Linked DNA regions of Diceros bicornis minor. The protein of the gene in region 1 interacts with the protein of each later gene in a pairwise test. Links are inferred from orthologs where the notes say so. Each region holds a gene or a part of one and is shown on either strand. Other genes may lie near its edges.

Evidence for each region. The genes of interacting proteins can lie anywhere in the genome.
Region 2: the proteins of KPNA2 (region 1) and SERTAD3 interact in binary tests that used the Homo sapiens proteins (3 or more experiments, as listed by UniProt). The two-hybrid records come from large-scale screens. The link is inferred for Diceros bicornis minor from reciprocal best matches to the Homo sapiens genes KPNA2 and SERTAD3.

The regions. Positions count from the first base shown.
Region 1 is NC_080757.1:47,461,285-47,468,342, reverse strand, and holds the start of KPNA2 (importin subunit alpha-1), read left to right. Parts: upstream 1-4,046; 5' UTR 4,047-4,153; intron 4,154-5,500; 5' UTR 5,501-5,525; coding exon 5,526-5,600; intron 5,601-5,750; coding exon 5,751-5,888; intron 5,889-7,058.
Region 2 is NC_080773.1:14,009,079-14,015,808, reverse strand, and holds SERTAD3 (SERTA domain-containing protein 3), read left to right. Parts: upstream 1-4,649; 5' UTR 4,650-5,275; coding exon 5,276-5,863; 3' UTR 5,864-6,180; downstream 6,181-6,730. Other genes in the region: BLVRB (flavin reductase (NADPH)), read left to right, coding at 1-67.

The DNA of each region.
Region 1 (7,058 bases):
GAAGCTCTGCTTGAAAAGGTAGGCAGAAAAAGAGGTAATGCCATCCGTCCAGTCGGCAGTTCATGTTTCCTAAGGCTTTTTTCTTTCAAAAGTCACTGTAAATTAAGCAAGAATAAATGCCCCTGTTTTGGATCCTATCTCAGCTTTCACGCCAAATTGTCAACTGCGGTGTTTTTAACAAGCGGAGATGCATTTCCTAATCTGTAACACAATCTCCTCAAGGTCGCTGTAGCGAAGTGAAATAACCACATTTTAAAATCTACCTCGCTGTCGTCAGTGATTATCGTCTGTCCCTGCACCAAAACTGATCTCTGTGCGACCCAGATGGGACTCGAACCCACAATCCCCAGCTCCGGAGGCTGATGCCTTATCCATTAGGCCACTGGGTCACCACGAGATCCGGGTTCTCACACCGTCTTCTTACGTGATGCCATCATCGCGCCCCGCCCTGCCCTGAGCTCCGCGGCCTCGCGTCGGGCGGTGTGTGATTTGGGAGCCGCCCCTAGCGGCGACGGCGCGCGCTTGCGCCCTCGGCTCGGACTGCAGGGCGAGCCCCCGCGCGCCTGCGCGGGGCCCTGTCCGCCCCGCTGCCCTGGGCTTGCGTGGCCGGCACGCGGACGGTTCTGGGCGGCCTCCTTCCGGGTGGGTTCTGTTCGCTGCGCGGACTGCACATTAGGCCCACTTGGGAACTTACCACAAAATTCCAATGCCTGTCCTCCCAACGTTCTATTTCTGTTTATCTGGCTGGGCCCGGGCGTCTGTATTTTACAAGTTCCCCAGGACCTTTCTCTGCCGCCGGCGTTAGGAACCACTCGCGGGGCGTGAGGGCCTCCGGCACCTGCCCCCTACACCCAACCCTCCCGTCCCTTACAGGGCCTTCCTTCCCTTTCTTTCTTGCATTTATTCAACGTACATTAATTTGATAATTATGTGCTGGGGACTGTTGCGGGATTCCAGGGTGAACAGGCTTTTCTTCAAATTTGCCCTTCTCCCCCATTCGTCTACATCCACTTTCCTCCCCCTCTCCTCTTCCCCTCCAGGTTAAAGGGAAAATGAATATAACAAGGTCCCTGAGTACAAAATAATACGGATTTTTGTTTGTTTGTGTTTATCCTAAAGCTGGGTTTTGGATAAAGATTTAGACTTTCTGGTTCCATACACAATATCTCTGTGCTTGTTGCATGTAAAGATGCTGCATTTGTGGCTTTTAAAAATATGCAATTTAGTTTTCTTGTTAGACATACAATACCTGTTCATTGTAAAATTGTATAAAGTATGGGAAAGCCAAACGAAGAACATTGAAATTGACCATAATTCTACCATTCGGAGTTAACCACTACCAACATTTTGATGTGTGTTTTTCAAATCTTAAGTGTCATTGTGTCATATGTCACTGTTTTATTACCTGTGGACCCTGACTCATCCAGGAAATGGTTTTCATGAAAGCTAGGACATTACTAGTGAATAATAATTCACTAATCATTCAGCACTGATGGTGCGGAAGTGATGGTGGGTAAAACTGACACCTTAGTGAATCAAGGCAGTGGCATCAAACTAGTAATGGTGTCTTCTTCACCTTTGCGCACTGGCTGTGGGGGGGGGGAGCCAGCTTCACTTAAGAATGTCCTTGATAATCATATAAGAATTATTAATTGTATTCAGTCTTGACTCGAGTACATATCTTTTTAATATTTTGTGTAACAAAATGGGAAGTGTGCATAAATCACTTCTACCACATACCAAAATACAGTGGTTGTCTCCTGAGAAAAACATTTGTGTGATGTTTGAGTTGCAGGCTAAACTAGCTGCTTTTTCAGTGGAACATCGTTTTTACTTGAAAGAATGACTGACAGACAAACTATGATTATTCAGATTTGGACACACTTGGGTTTGGTTCTCCAGAGCAGCTACAGTCTCAGGCGCCCATCATCACAGCACACAGTCCTGTGGAAGAGAGAGGCTATCTCACTCTCAAGGGCCTCAGTAAACTTTTTACTGTACTGTGTTAACATCTTCATCACCAAACCAATATGGCTGTGTCTCTGCCATAGAATGTACTGATTGGCCTAGGCCAGACAGGCCCTCTCCTGAATCTCTGTCCAGACTACAATAGCTAAGAGTAGAGGATGTATGGTTCCCCCTGGGCAACATTGTGTCTTTCAAAGGCAACTTTCACTTTTGACATTATACTTCCGTTTCAGGTTGTTTTCAGGTACAAGTACAGAATAGTGATTGAGAGCATGGATCCTGGACTAGACAGCCTGGGTCTGAATCCTGTCTCTGCCACTTATTCATTGTGTAAACCTGGACGAGTTACTTAACCACTCATGATTCAGTCTTCTCTTCTGTGAAATGGAACAGATAATAATACTACCTCGCACAGTTGTGAAGATTAAATGTATTAATATATGTAAAACAGAACACTTCTGGGCACATAGTACTCAATATTTTCAAGCAAAAGAAAACCCAATTTAACTAGCTTAAACAACAAAGAAAGTGTATCAGATGACATAATCACAAAGTTGTATAATTGCAACCTTCAGAGGTAGGGCATGCTGTCAATCAGAGCTTTCATGGTTTCTCCACCACTGTCCTATTCATACTTCCAGGAGTAACATCCCTCAGTTCAGAAGAACAGAGCCTGCTTTCCTACCTGCAATCACTAAACAAAAGGCATAGGCTTCCCAACTGGATGAATTTAGGTCACATGCCTGCCCCTGAACCATTCACAGTAGCCAAGAGAATGCCCTGCAATGACTGGCTTAGGGGTGAATTCCTTCCATGTTTTTGCACTTAGAGTGGATAGGATTCTGCTGATTGGGTAGGTGGGAATAGAATCAACCTCCTATGAACCACATGCTGCTACACAATGAGTGAGACTGGCATAAATGCCTGCAAGACGACTAAGTTCACTGTTTCAATTCATTTATAGCAAAAAATAAATCAACACAACTTTTTAAAAAATCCTTTTTCAGAATACAGAGAAACAGCAGAAAGAAAACAAAATGGCCCACAATCCTGATGCTCTGATAACCCTCATTGATGCTTAAAGAAAAGTACATGGCAAGAAAATGTAAACATTTTATTCAGAAATGTATAAAATACAGCATAGATCATTACTAGAACAATTGGCAAACCTTGAACATGAACTATATAATTAATAATAGCATCAAAGTTCAGTTGTCCTGAATTTGATGATGGTGGTGTGGTTATATAAAAGAATGCCCTTATTTTTAGAAGATACACGCTGATATATTTAGAGGTAAGGAGACATGATTTTTGAAACTTACTCTTAAATCGTTCAAAAAGTAATATGTAAAAGCCATATATATATATGTATGTGTGTATATGTATTTACATGGAGAGAGACAGAGAAATAAATGTGGCAAATGTTAACGTTTGGCAAATCTGGGTAAAGATTTGCAATTCTTCTGTACTGAAATTATTTAAAAATAAGTGTCTGGAAAAACAGGCATAATAAACCTTTTGTTACCATATTTGTGGCTTCTTTGCAGTCTTTTATGACACAAGTTTTAAAAAAAAAAGAGAGAAACTAAAAAATGCAAGACAAATCTGCCTTACTCCTCCCCTCCATAGTGGCCAGAAACCCCTGCCACGTTCCTTCTGTGTCCTATCAGGGAAAAAATGTATATCAATATTTTTCTATATGAAGATTTTTAAAAAGAAAGATTTTGGGAATCATCTGTGGTACGTGGTTAAGGCCACCCAGGAAAACGACCAGCGACCTTACTCGCATAAACCCTCAGCAGCGACCGGACCATCCAGCCAAGGCGGGGCTGGGAACCGGCCCTTCGCGTTGCATGCCGGGATCTGAAGTCTTTCCACTAAGAACTGCAAGGCGCTCTGGGATCGCCCGGCCGCTCCCCCATCTCGCGATGTTATCCTCCCTTCCTCTGGGCCCTATGATCACCACCCCTCCCCAACGTGTTTTTCAAATCCACCAATGGACGCACAGCGTCTGCTCGAACCAGCCAATCGGAATGCGGAGCCACCGGGAAATTTAAATCGCGCCGGCAGGCTGCACGAGCCACACCGTCTTCGGGTTGAGCCGTGGTGGACGTTTTGAGGGCATCCGATCTGCAGCCTGTGCGTCCCGCGCCGATTGCTGTGGAAGCCTGACCCGGCTGTGAAGGTACGAACTCAGGCCGCAGCCTGGCCCGAGCGGTAACGGCTGGCCCCAGGCCGCGCTTGGCTTTCGGGTGGCGAGAGGGGAGGCCCGGGTACACGCCCGGCCTGCCTTCGGCCTCCCTCGTTGGCGAGGCCTCGGGGGCGCCGTTGGTTGACTAGGCGGCTGTTCCGCGATGCGAGTGCGTGGGTTGTAGGGCGCCGAGGCTCTGCGGACCGCAGCGGGAGCCCTTGCGGCCCGGAGAATCTCCGTTAGGCCCGAGGGCCAAAGTCCGGGAGTGGGCCCGGCGCCTCCGGCCCCTCCTCCGCCGGTTCCCCGCCGCGTCTCCCCGGGGTGAGGGGCAGGGGACGGGACCGGAGGTGGAGGCGGCAGTTGGAAGGACTCGCTCCTTAACACGTAGGCGCTGGGTTGGCTGTGGCACAATTTCGTAAAAGAACATAGTGGAATTAAAGATAACAGATCGTAGGGAGGACTTTTACTTTCGTCACCTTTCAGAGATTGCTTTTAAGGTATCTGAGTCTGAATGAAGCACCATTAATATCAGCCCGATTAAGTGCATTCACTCGCGATTCCTAGAAATGAAAATGGGTGCGGGATGCTGGGGATGCAGAACTGCGTCGCAAGTTTTCAGTGTTGACAGGAAATGTGATGGAAGACTCCATAATGTAATGATGAACCAAATTTTTCTTTAGTTTTCAAGTGAGAAATTTCAGGGAGAATGTAGCTATTTTGGCCATTTAAAGACAATAGAGAGCCTCCAGAGAATCTGAATTTATTGCCCCTAGGACATAGATTTTAACAGTAAGGTCAGTTCCCCTGCTTTGTCTTCAGTTGGCTCTTTATGGACTCCGTATAGAGTCTAGAGCCGCACTGTCCAGTGTGATAGTCACTAAATGTATGTGGCTCATCCGAAGTGAGATATGCTGTAAGCTTCAAGTGCAGGCAAGATTTTGAAGAACTAGTATGAAAAAAATAAAATATCTCAATTTTTTAATGTTGTAACGTGGTGAAATGAGAATATATTGGAAGTGTTGGGTTAAATAAAATATATTATTAAAATTAATTTCACGTAATTCTTTTTGCTTTTTAAAAAATGTGGCTACTAGGAAATTTAAATTTATGCACGCTTGCAACATATTTCTGATGGACAGCACTGCTCCGGGAAGTCTCAGCCCCTTCAGAGGGGAGGGGACAGATATCATTTGGCCAAGACTATTTCATAGTGCTCAGAAAGGAAGTTTGTCCTCTAACAGAGAAGTGTAGATTCAATATATGCTTGGTAATTGTGTTGATGCTCTTCTTATTGACAAAGCAAAATGATAAAAGGGAAATTTTTTCTCTCCCCCATCTTAGAGCTTTCTCCCTTTGTCTCATAACCATGTCCACGAATGAGAATGCTAATTCACCAGCTGCCCGCCTTAACAGATTCAAGAACAAGGGTAAAGACAGTACAGTGAGTACTTTCTGTTGATTTCCTATGGTATTTTTTAAATGGGAAGATATTTGAGAAGAGGTCAGAACTTTGAGGGAATTTGAAAAAATGCCCTCACTTGGCAAGAAAAACTAATCTAATAGGTGAAATGATGTGTTATCTTTTTGCAAGGAAATGAGGCGGCGCCGAATAGAAGTTAATGTGGAGCTGAGGAAAGCTAAGAAGGATGACCAGATGCTGAAAAGGAGAAATGTAAGCTCATTTCCCGATGATGCTACATCTCCACTACAGGAAAACCGCAACAACCAGGTAAATATATTTTAGCTTCTGAATTATGGTAAACCCAGAAAATCAATATGGGGCTTTTCTTAGAAATTTAACATTCCTGGCTTTATGGTTTTAACTCTCAAATCTGAAGATCATTTTTTCTGCTCCCAATCAGTAATTCTGATGGGTTGTCTTCTTTCCTGCTCACCCTCCATAATCTTTTGAAGCTGATTCCAAGGTTGTCCTGAGTTCCAATCTCCTCCCTTCGAGTTTTCCAGCATTTCCAGCTGCCAGCTCGGTACCTTAACCTGGCCATTCCAGTGCTAACTGAAATTAGTGTATCCAGAACCAACCACTTTCTGGCTTATTTCTACCTTTTTTGATATTCTCTATTTTTTGTACTTGTCACTAGCTTTGTTCAGGGCTTTTTCTTTCTGAAATATTTTCAGTAGTCTCCTAATTTATCTTTCCCTTCATTCTATGCCACATACTATTTACTTAAAAATTTTCCTAAAATTCTGCTTTAGACATGTTCTTTCTTTGCTTAAAACTTTGATGGTTTTAAATCCATATTATTTGAAGGTTTTTTTAAATTAGACCCATCGTAGATTTTTAAATATCTCTCGTTTTTAAAAGATATTGGGCACTTTCCTACCTTTTATCTCTGTCGCCCCCCCCCCCCCCCCGAATACTACCTACGTGCTATTTCTAGGGTATTATTCTCAAATCCATCTTTTCCTTATAGCACTCCCTGGTCAGCTTAGCAGGAAAAATGCCCCCTCTCAGAATTCCTCTAGCACTCTGGTTCTGCACCAACAATGGAGAGTAAATGCTTATATAACATATATATACACATACATATATATATATACACTATTTGTTGTACGGTTGTTGATGTCACATTTTCCTTGTTAAGTTGTAAACTTCTAGGGAAAAAGGGACACTGTCTTTTTGAGTTGTCTACTTGAGTTATAGTATTGGTTCTCAAACTTTTCTACTGGGATTACAACATATAACATTTATATTTGCAGCACTATACCATGGAAATGCATAGATTATAAGGTTAGATGTGAAAATCCCCAGCACATTGCCTATAACTCCATCCCTTTTTCCCCTAAAAGCTTATGCAAGTGATTGAGACTAATGTAGAAATAACCTTCAAACTGCTCTAATTCACTTTTTTGTTTTTTCCTCCTAATTCACTTTTTTAAA
Region 2 (6,730 bases), on another chromosome or scaffold:
GCTGCGCTGCCTCACCACCGATGAGTATGACGGCCACAGCACCTACCCCTCCCACCAGTATGATTAGGGCGTCGGCCCACCCAGGAAGACAGCATCCTTGGAAATGGAGAACAAAGGAAAGGAGCAATAAATCTTGAACCAAGAGCTTCCAATTATTCCTGAAGATCCAACCCTGGGACTCTTCCTCTCTGGCTTTGTCTGGATGTCTTAGTGGCTCTGTGTAGGATTTTCTGGGTATTCATTTATTTCCTCAGTCACAGTTTATTGAGTCACTGTGCTGTGCTCTGCCCTGTGCTAGGGACCCAGGGGTCACTGTGAGGACCCAGTGGTGACCCTGCCTTCACAGGTGTCACAGTCCAGTGAGGAAGGCAGCCGTGCCCCTGATAGTGACAACTCTGATGGCCAGGGCTCTGAGCGAGGGCTGAGGGAGCCCCGAGGGGGCACCTGACCCAGCTTGAGGAGCTAGACAAGGGTCTGCGGAAGAGGGGATGGCCCACCTGAAACCAGGTTGGGTAAGAATGAGCCAGGAGAAGGTTCTAAGGCATGATGGCTTTCTGGGCAGAAGGAACCACATGCGCCAAGGCCAGGAGGCTGGAAAGCATGTGGCCCTTTTGAGGAACTAAAATCCATCCCCTACAGTTAATAAGACTTTTCTCGGAGGTGAGGAGTGGTCAGACCCAAGAGGCTGTTCCATGGATGCTAAATTGTGTGGAGTCAAAAGTTTGAGCTTTAGTCTGAGGTTTTACCCAAGGAATGGAGCAGGGGAGAGGTGGGGAGGTGGCACAGTCAGGTTTGTGTTTTAGAAAGCTTTCTTTGGCCACTGTGTGAAGGTGGATGGGAAGGGGCAAGAGTGGAGGCTGGGAGCCCTGGGGACCAAGGCAGAGGCCTTGAGGAGGGGAAGGGAGAGTGGGTGGGAGCCTGATGGTCCATAGGGGAGGGGAAGGAGGCATCCAGAAAGAAGCATAGGGCTGTAACCTGGGGACGGGGGAAAGGTCCCTGAGAAAGGGACCCTAGAGGAGGGACAGGCTTGGGAGGGGGAAAGGGCAGAATTGCCCCTTCCTAATCACACCCTGCCTCTGTTCCCCACAGACACTTTTCCCAGACCTGCCGTGAGCTACTCCTCTCTCCCTACATCCAGCCACCCCCACCTACCCCCCAACACCTTCTCCCCTCCCCCTCCCCAAAATCCATCCCAACCCTACACTGCTCTGCAAACAGCAGGATGACTTGGTTGACAAATTCCAACCGGTGAGAACTGGTCTGAGGAGCCTTAAACCTCCAGTCCCAGGGGTAGCCTGGAGAAAACCGCCTCCCCCTCCCCTTAGTGAAAACTTGATGGGGGTGGGGCACTACTGGTTTAGGCTTCCAGGGCACACGCGCTGTTTCATTTCTGCCCTCTCTCTTTCTGTCACACTCTGGACATTGAACAGACTTTCACTGAGCGCCTGCTTTATGTCCAGTCTTGTGTTAGGTGATGCTGTGGACCAAGCAGTGGGTGGCTATGATAACCTTGGTACTTGTCCTCAGGGTGCCCACAGTCCAGATAGTGACAGCCCAGGGCTAGGATGGGGGAGGCACGGGCAGAGGGGTCAGGGCCGCGATGAGGAAAGCACAGGACACCCTGGGAGCCCAGAATGGGTCCTTAACCCACCCTAGAGCAGGGAGGGCTTCTAGGAGGAGGCAACCTTTGAGATGAGTTCTGATGAGAGGCAGCCTAGGAATTGAGGGGATATTTTCAGGACTAGGAAACAAGTTTAAAGACCTAGAGGCCTTTTATTCTCATTTTTGAGTACTTGCTATGGACCTGGCATTGTTGTAGGCCCTGGGGATAAGGCAGAGAAGAAAACAGAAAATCTCCGCGGTCATGGTGGTGGAGGGCACTTGAAGCCATTTTAGAAAAACTGAAAGTGAATCGGTGTGGCAGGATAGTAGGGAGTAAGGAGGAGTGTGCATCAGGCCAGACCGTGAAGGGCTTTGCAGCAAAAATAAGGAGTTTGGACTTCGTCCCCAGGGCAGTGGGAGCCGTGAATGAGTTTCCAGCAGCGGAGGTGTCATCCTGAAAGAGGAAGGATAGGGTGTCAGGACGATGCAGGAGGGACCACGAGAAGACGGGCTGAGAAGTCCTGATGATTAAGAAGGGCGCCGCAGAAGGAAGAGTCAGCAATTCTTGGAGAGATGTTCTGAAGCTCCTTGCTAAAGACTGTTGCTTTTGATTTTCCAGTGATGGATGAAGGCCAGGACAAGATGGTCACTAGGGTCACTTTGGGACACAAGAGTCACCATTGTTTCCCTGGTGGCTGGGAATTGAGCCTACAATTGAGCAGGTTCATCCTAGCTGTGAATCCACTGAGACTGAGCTGGAAAACCAGAAATATGAGGTCAGCCCTGACTCAATGCTTCTCAGCTGGTGGAACCCCAGCCTCACCATTCTAAACAACCGCCTCTAAAGCACATTTCTATTTAAAACTTAGATCTAAGCGCAATAGAGTGGTTCAAAACGCCTTCATGGGACACAGGGAAACTGCTCTAGAACTTGAGTTCAGATTTTTGTTGTCTTATTTTTAGGAGACCTGGCCAGCTATAGTGTTGATCCCAATAGTGATCTGAAGTTAAAATAAGGAACATAAACAAACCATGGCAATACGATATATTTTCTATTGGTACATATATATGCACATAAATGCGTAGAAAAAGGTCTAGAAGTAAGACTTCAAACCCAACAAAGAGGGCTACCCGTGGGGAAAGGGGGGTAGGGAGGGGCCCAGGATTGGCTAGGATGGTCAGAGGAAACTTCTAATCTCTCAATAATGTTTTCATTTTTTACAAGGAGGATATATTTATAATTATTTGTATAATTTAAGAATAAGTTTAAAATAAAAAAAAAAAGAAGGGCGCCGCGGGGTAAAATGTTGGGGAGCAGGAAGACAGGGGCAGCGAAGGGGCGGGGCTGCCATCGCCCAGGCAACGTAGGCCGCGCCAAACTATTGGCTGGCCGTCAGCTGCGTCATCCTCCCCCGATGCGCAGCGCCGCCTCGGAACCCCAGGGGCGCGGCCTCCGCCAGTGGTTCGGCCCCGCCCTCCCTGAAAGCGGGGTGAGGAGGCGCGCGTGCCCCTCAGTCTTCCTCCGCGATGGGGTCCAGGCTTGGTATAAAGGGATCACAGAGAGCAATGCTGACGATCTTGGAGCTAGGACAGTAGCTGAGTTGAAGGAAATAGTTTTGAGGTCCCCGCCACCTTCCACCCTAGAACGCGGCCCCGCCCCCTGGCCGGTCGGAATCCTTTAAATGGTCCGGGCGCAAGGAAGGGGAGGGCGGGTCGGGCGTCTCCTGGAGACGGGCGGGTGGCTCCGCCCAGCCAATCTGCGCCCCGCGGCGGGCAGGATTCCAGCCAATCGCGGCTCGCGGCTCGGCTCCGGGGCGGAGCTGGGGGAGCGGAGGCCAGACAGAGAGGCCCCGGAGGTGAACGAGGCCCCTACCCAGCCCTGGAGGGTCGCGAAGCTACGGACATTGCAGGAGGTGGTCATCGGCAGCTGAGGTGAGGGGTGGCTGCCCGGCTTGAGATCTGCCTTAGGTCGGGGGAAGTGGAGGCGCGCCCCCGAGAGCTGTGGAGGCGGGGTCTGGGCGGGAGTGGGGGGGCGCAGATTAAGGGTGATGATAGGGTTTCAAGGGTTTGGGGACCGGAGACCGAGTTCGAGATCTTGGACGGGAGGCGAAGTTGTTGGAGCAGGGTCCTCGAGTAGAGGGAGTTTGAAGCTGGGGTGTTTGGAGAAGCGAGAGAACCAGGAAAGGAACTTTTTTGGGGCAGGGAATCTGGAGATAGGACAATTCAGGTCTCCCGGACTGATTGAATTCGGGGCTCTCGTGTTCTGGAAAAGGTCTGAGGGCTTGGGGCTGGGGTCCCGGGCATTTGGAGAAGTGAGAGAACTAGCGGCAAGGAATCTTGGTCTCCCAGGCGCAGTCGCGGAGCGGGAGTGCCGGGAAGAGTTTCACGTTCAGGTCTTGGAGGGGGAGTTGGTGGAAGTGAAGTCCAGAGGCGTTTGAAAGATGGGAGAATAAGGGAGAGGTAACAGGGGAAGATCTCAAAATTGAGATACCTAGTCTCCCGAACGGAGAGAATCGGAGAGCATTTGTAGTCTTGAGCGATGTGTTGGGGCCTGGGTCTCTGGACCCCAGAGCAGTTTGGGGGTAGAATCCAGGACCTTCTGGGGTCCGAAGGACTGGCAGAAAGCAGTTTTAGAGCCGCACTCGGGTGGGGGAGGGGTGTTCCGGGCGTGGAGCTCAGACCCGCCGCCCTGGAGGCAGCGGAGGGCGGGGCTCGGCAGGCGCCCGGCAGCTGGACCTCCGGGTTCCCTTCCCCCACCCACCGCGGGCCCCTGTGCGCATGCCCTGAGGGAGGGCGGGAGGTTCGTCCCTGTGGCGTGCCGAGCCTCCTGGGGATTGTAGTGCACGTTCCACGTCAGTGCACGTACCTGGCGGCTATTAGCCCACATTTCCCAGAAACCCCTGGGCCAAATTGAGGCGGGGCTGGATGCGGAATGAAGACCCGTGAAGGGGCGGGGCCTATAGAGGGCCGAGGTCTGGTTGGATGAGTCGGGAGGGGGCGGAGCTTGGTGTGAGTCGCGTTCTTGCAAGTGTCCCTGGCGGGTGCGCTTTTGGGGAAGTTTAAGGCGCGGACGGAGGGAACGAGGGCGGTCCCTTTCCTACTGCTGGGAGCGCTCTCAGGAAGAGGGCATGAACTGAAACATCCTCCCTGCGAAAGAAGAGTCTCGACAAATAGGTGCCCTAAGAGGGCTCTAAGTGGCTCGAATATAGTAGACGCTCCAATAAAGATATTGAATAAATGGCAGTTAATTCCTGTTCATTAAGTGTTTCCTGTATGGTGGGCCCTGTGCATGTTACACGTGGGATCTCCTTGGCGATGTGGTGAGAATTTTTGCAATCCCCATTTTATAGATGAGGAAACTGAGGCCCAGGGAGGTAATGTCACATCACTTCCCAAGATCACATGGCTGAGCAGCCTGAAAGGTAGAATTCTAACCCAGGATTCCCTACTTCTGGTCCACGTCTCTGTACTCCACACCTGTCTTGTGTGGGTCACATTTGAAGAAATGAGTATTGTGGAAAGAACAGTTTTAAGACTCAGAGGGATTTAACTTAGGATTCTCATCTTGCAAATGAGGAAATTAAGTCTCAAAGAGGTAAAACACCCATACAGGAGATTCTGGATTTGAACTAGCCCTGCTATGTCTGACTTGCTCTTCTCTCTGTAGGGCATCATGGTAGGAGGCTTAAAGAGGAAACGCTCAGATTTGGAGGAGGATGAGAAGTGGGACTGGGGTCCGGCAGGCCTCCGGAGCTACCAGCAAGCCCTGCTCCGCATCTCCCTAGACAAGGTCCAGAGAAGCCTGGGCCCCCGAGCACCCAGCCTCCGCAGGCATGTCCTCATCCAGAACACGCTCCAGCAGCTCCAGGCCGCGCTGTGCCTGGCTCCGGCACCAGCTCTGCCCCCTGAGCCCCTCTTCCTGGGTGAGGAGGACTTCTCCCTGTCAGCCACCATCGGCTCTATTCTCAGGGAGCTGGAGACCTCCATGGACGAGACGGAGACCCCTCAGAATCCAGTGGCTCCCGTGAGCCCCCAGAATGAAGTGCTACCCCAGCCGGATCCAGTCTTCTTAGAAGCTCTAAGCTCCCAGTACCTGGGGGACTCTGGTCTGGATGACTTCTTTCTGGACATCGACACGTCCACAGTGGAGAAGGAGCCAGCACTGGCCGCACCGGAGCCTCCTCACAGCCTCTTCTGTGCCCCCGGGTCCTGGGAGTGGAATGAACTAGATCACATCATGGAAATTATTCTGGGCTCCTAAAACTGATGAGCGGGCTCCTTCGTCATCTCAGCCTCAGTGGGCTGGATCCCTGGATGCAACTGTGTGTGTGTGTGTGTGTGTGTGTGTGTGTGTGTGTGTGTGTGTGTGTGTTTTGGTGGAGGCTCTAAGCAGTGTCTGGCCTCCTTTCCTCCCATTTCAGGGTTCCACAAACCGTCTTGCATGTGTGTGTGTGTCTGGTAACCGCAGCCTTCTGTGAAGGTGGGTCCTCCTAAATTAATTTATCTGTTCCAAATGCCTTAATGAGGCTCTGTTTCTGGGAGTCTGATTTCCCACTTCCACATTTCTTCTGCCTCTCCCTCCAGTTCCTACTCCCCTTGTGACCACTGGGGCCTCAGGGAAGACAAACTGGGCCTGTTCAAGGATGGCGGGGATGTGCTGCCTGGTTGCTATGGAAACCCAGGCTCTGCCTCTTGCACCTAGAGGGAGCCAGAGGGGCTGGCTGCCTCCCCCCAGGCTGAACCCCACCTCCTTGGCAGGACCCCAGTCCCAGCAGCCTCCTGATTTATAACGAGGCCGGACCACGTGCAATAGGGTGGAAACAAACTGCTCCATGCCGCGTTATTTAAAAGAAAGGCGGGTTTCGTGGTGGTTTTTTTGTTGTTTGTTTTTGGATTGTTTGTAATGATTTTTTTTTTAATAAAAGTATTTTGGAAGGGATAGTGTTGCCTAAAGTTTCTAAACCTCGCCGGAGCAATGGGAGGGACCTGGTAAGTTCCGGGCAGGTACATCATCAAACATAACATTTATTGAGGGCTTGTTAAGAGTGCTGTTCTACCCACTTTATTTGAGTTGTCATTTAATCCTCATGATTACGCAGAAGTAGATACTGTTATCACATTTTACATA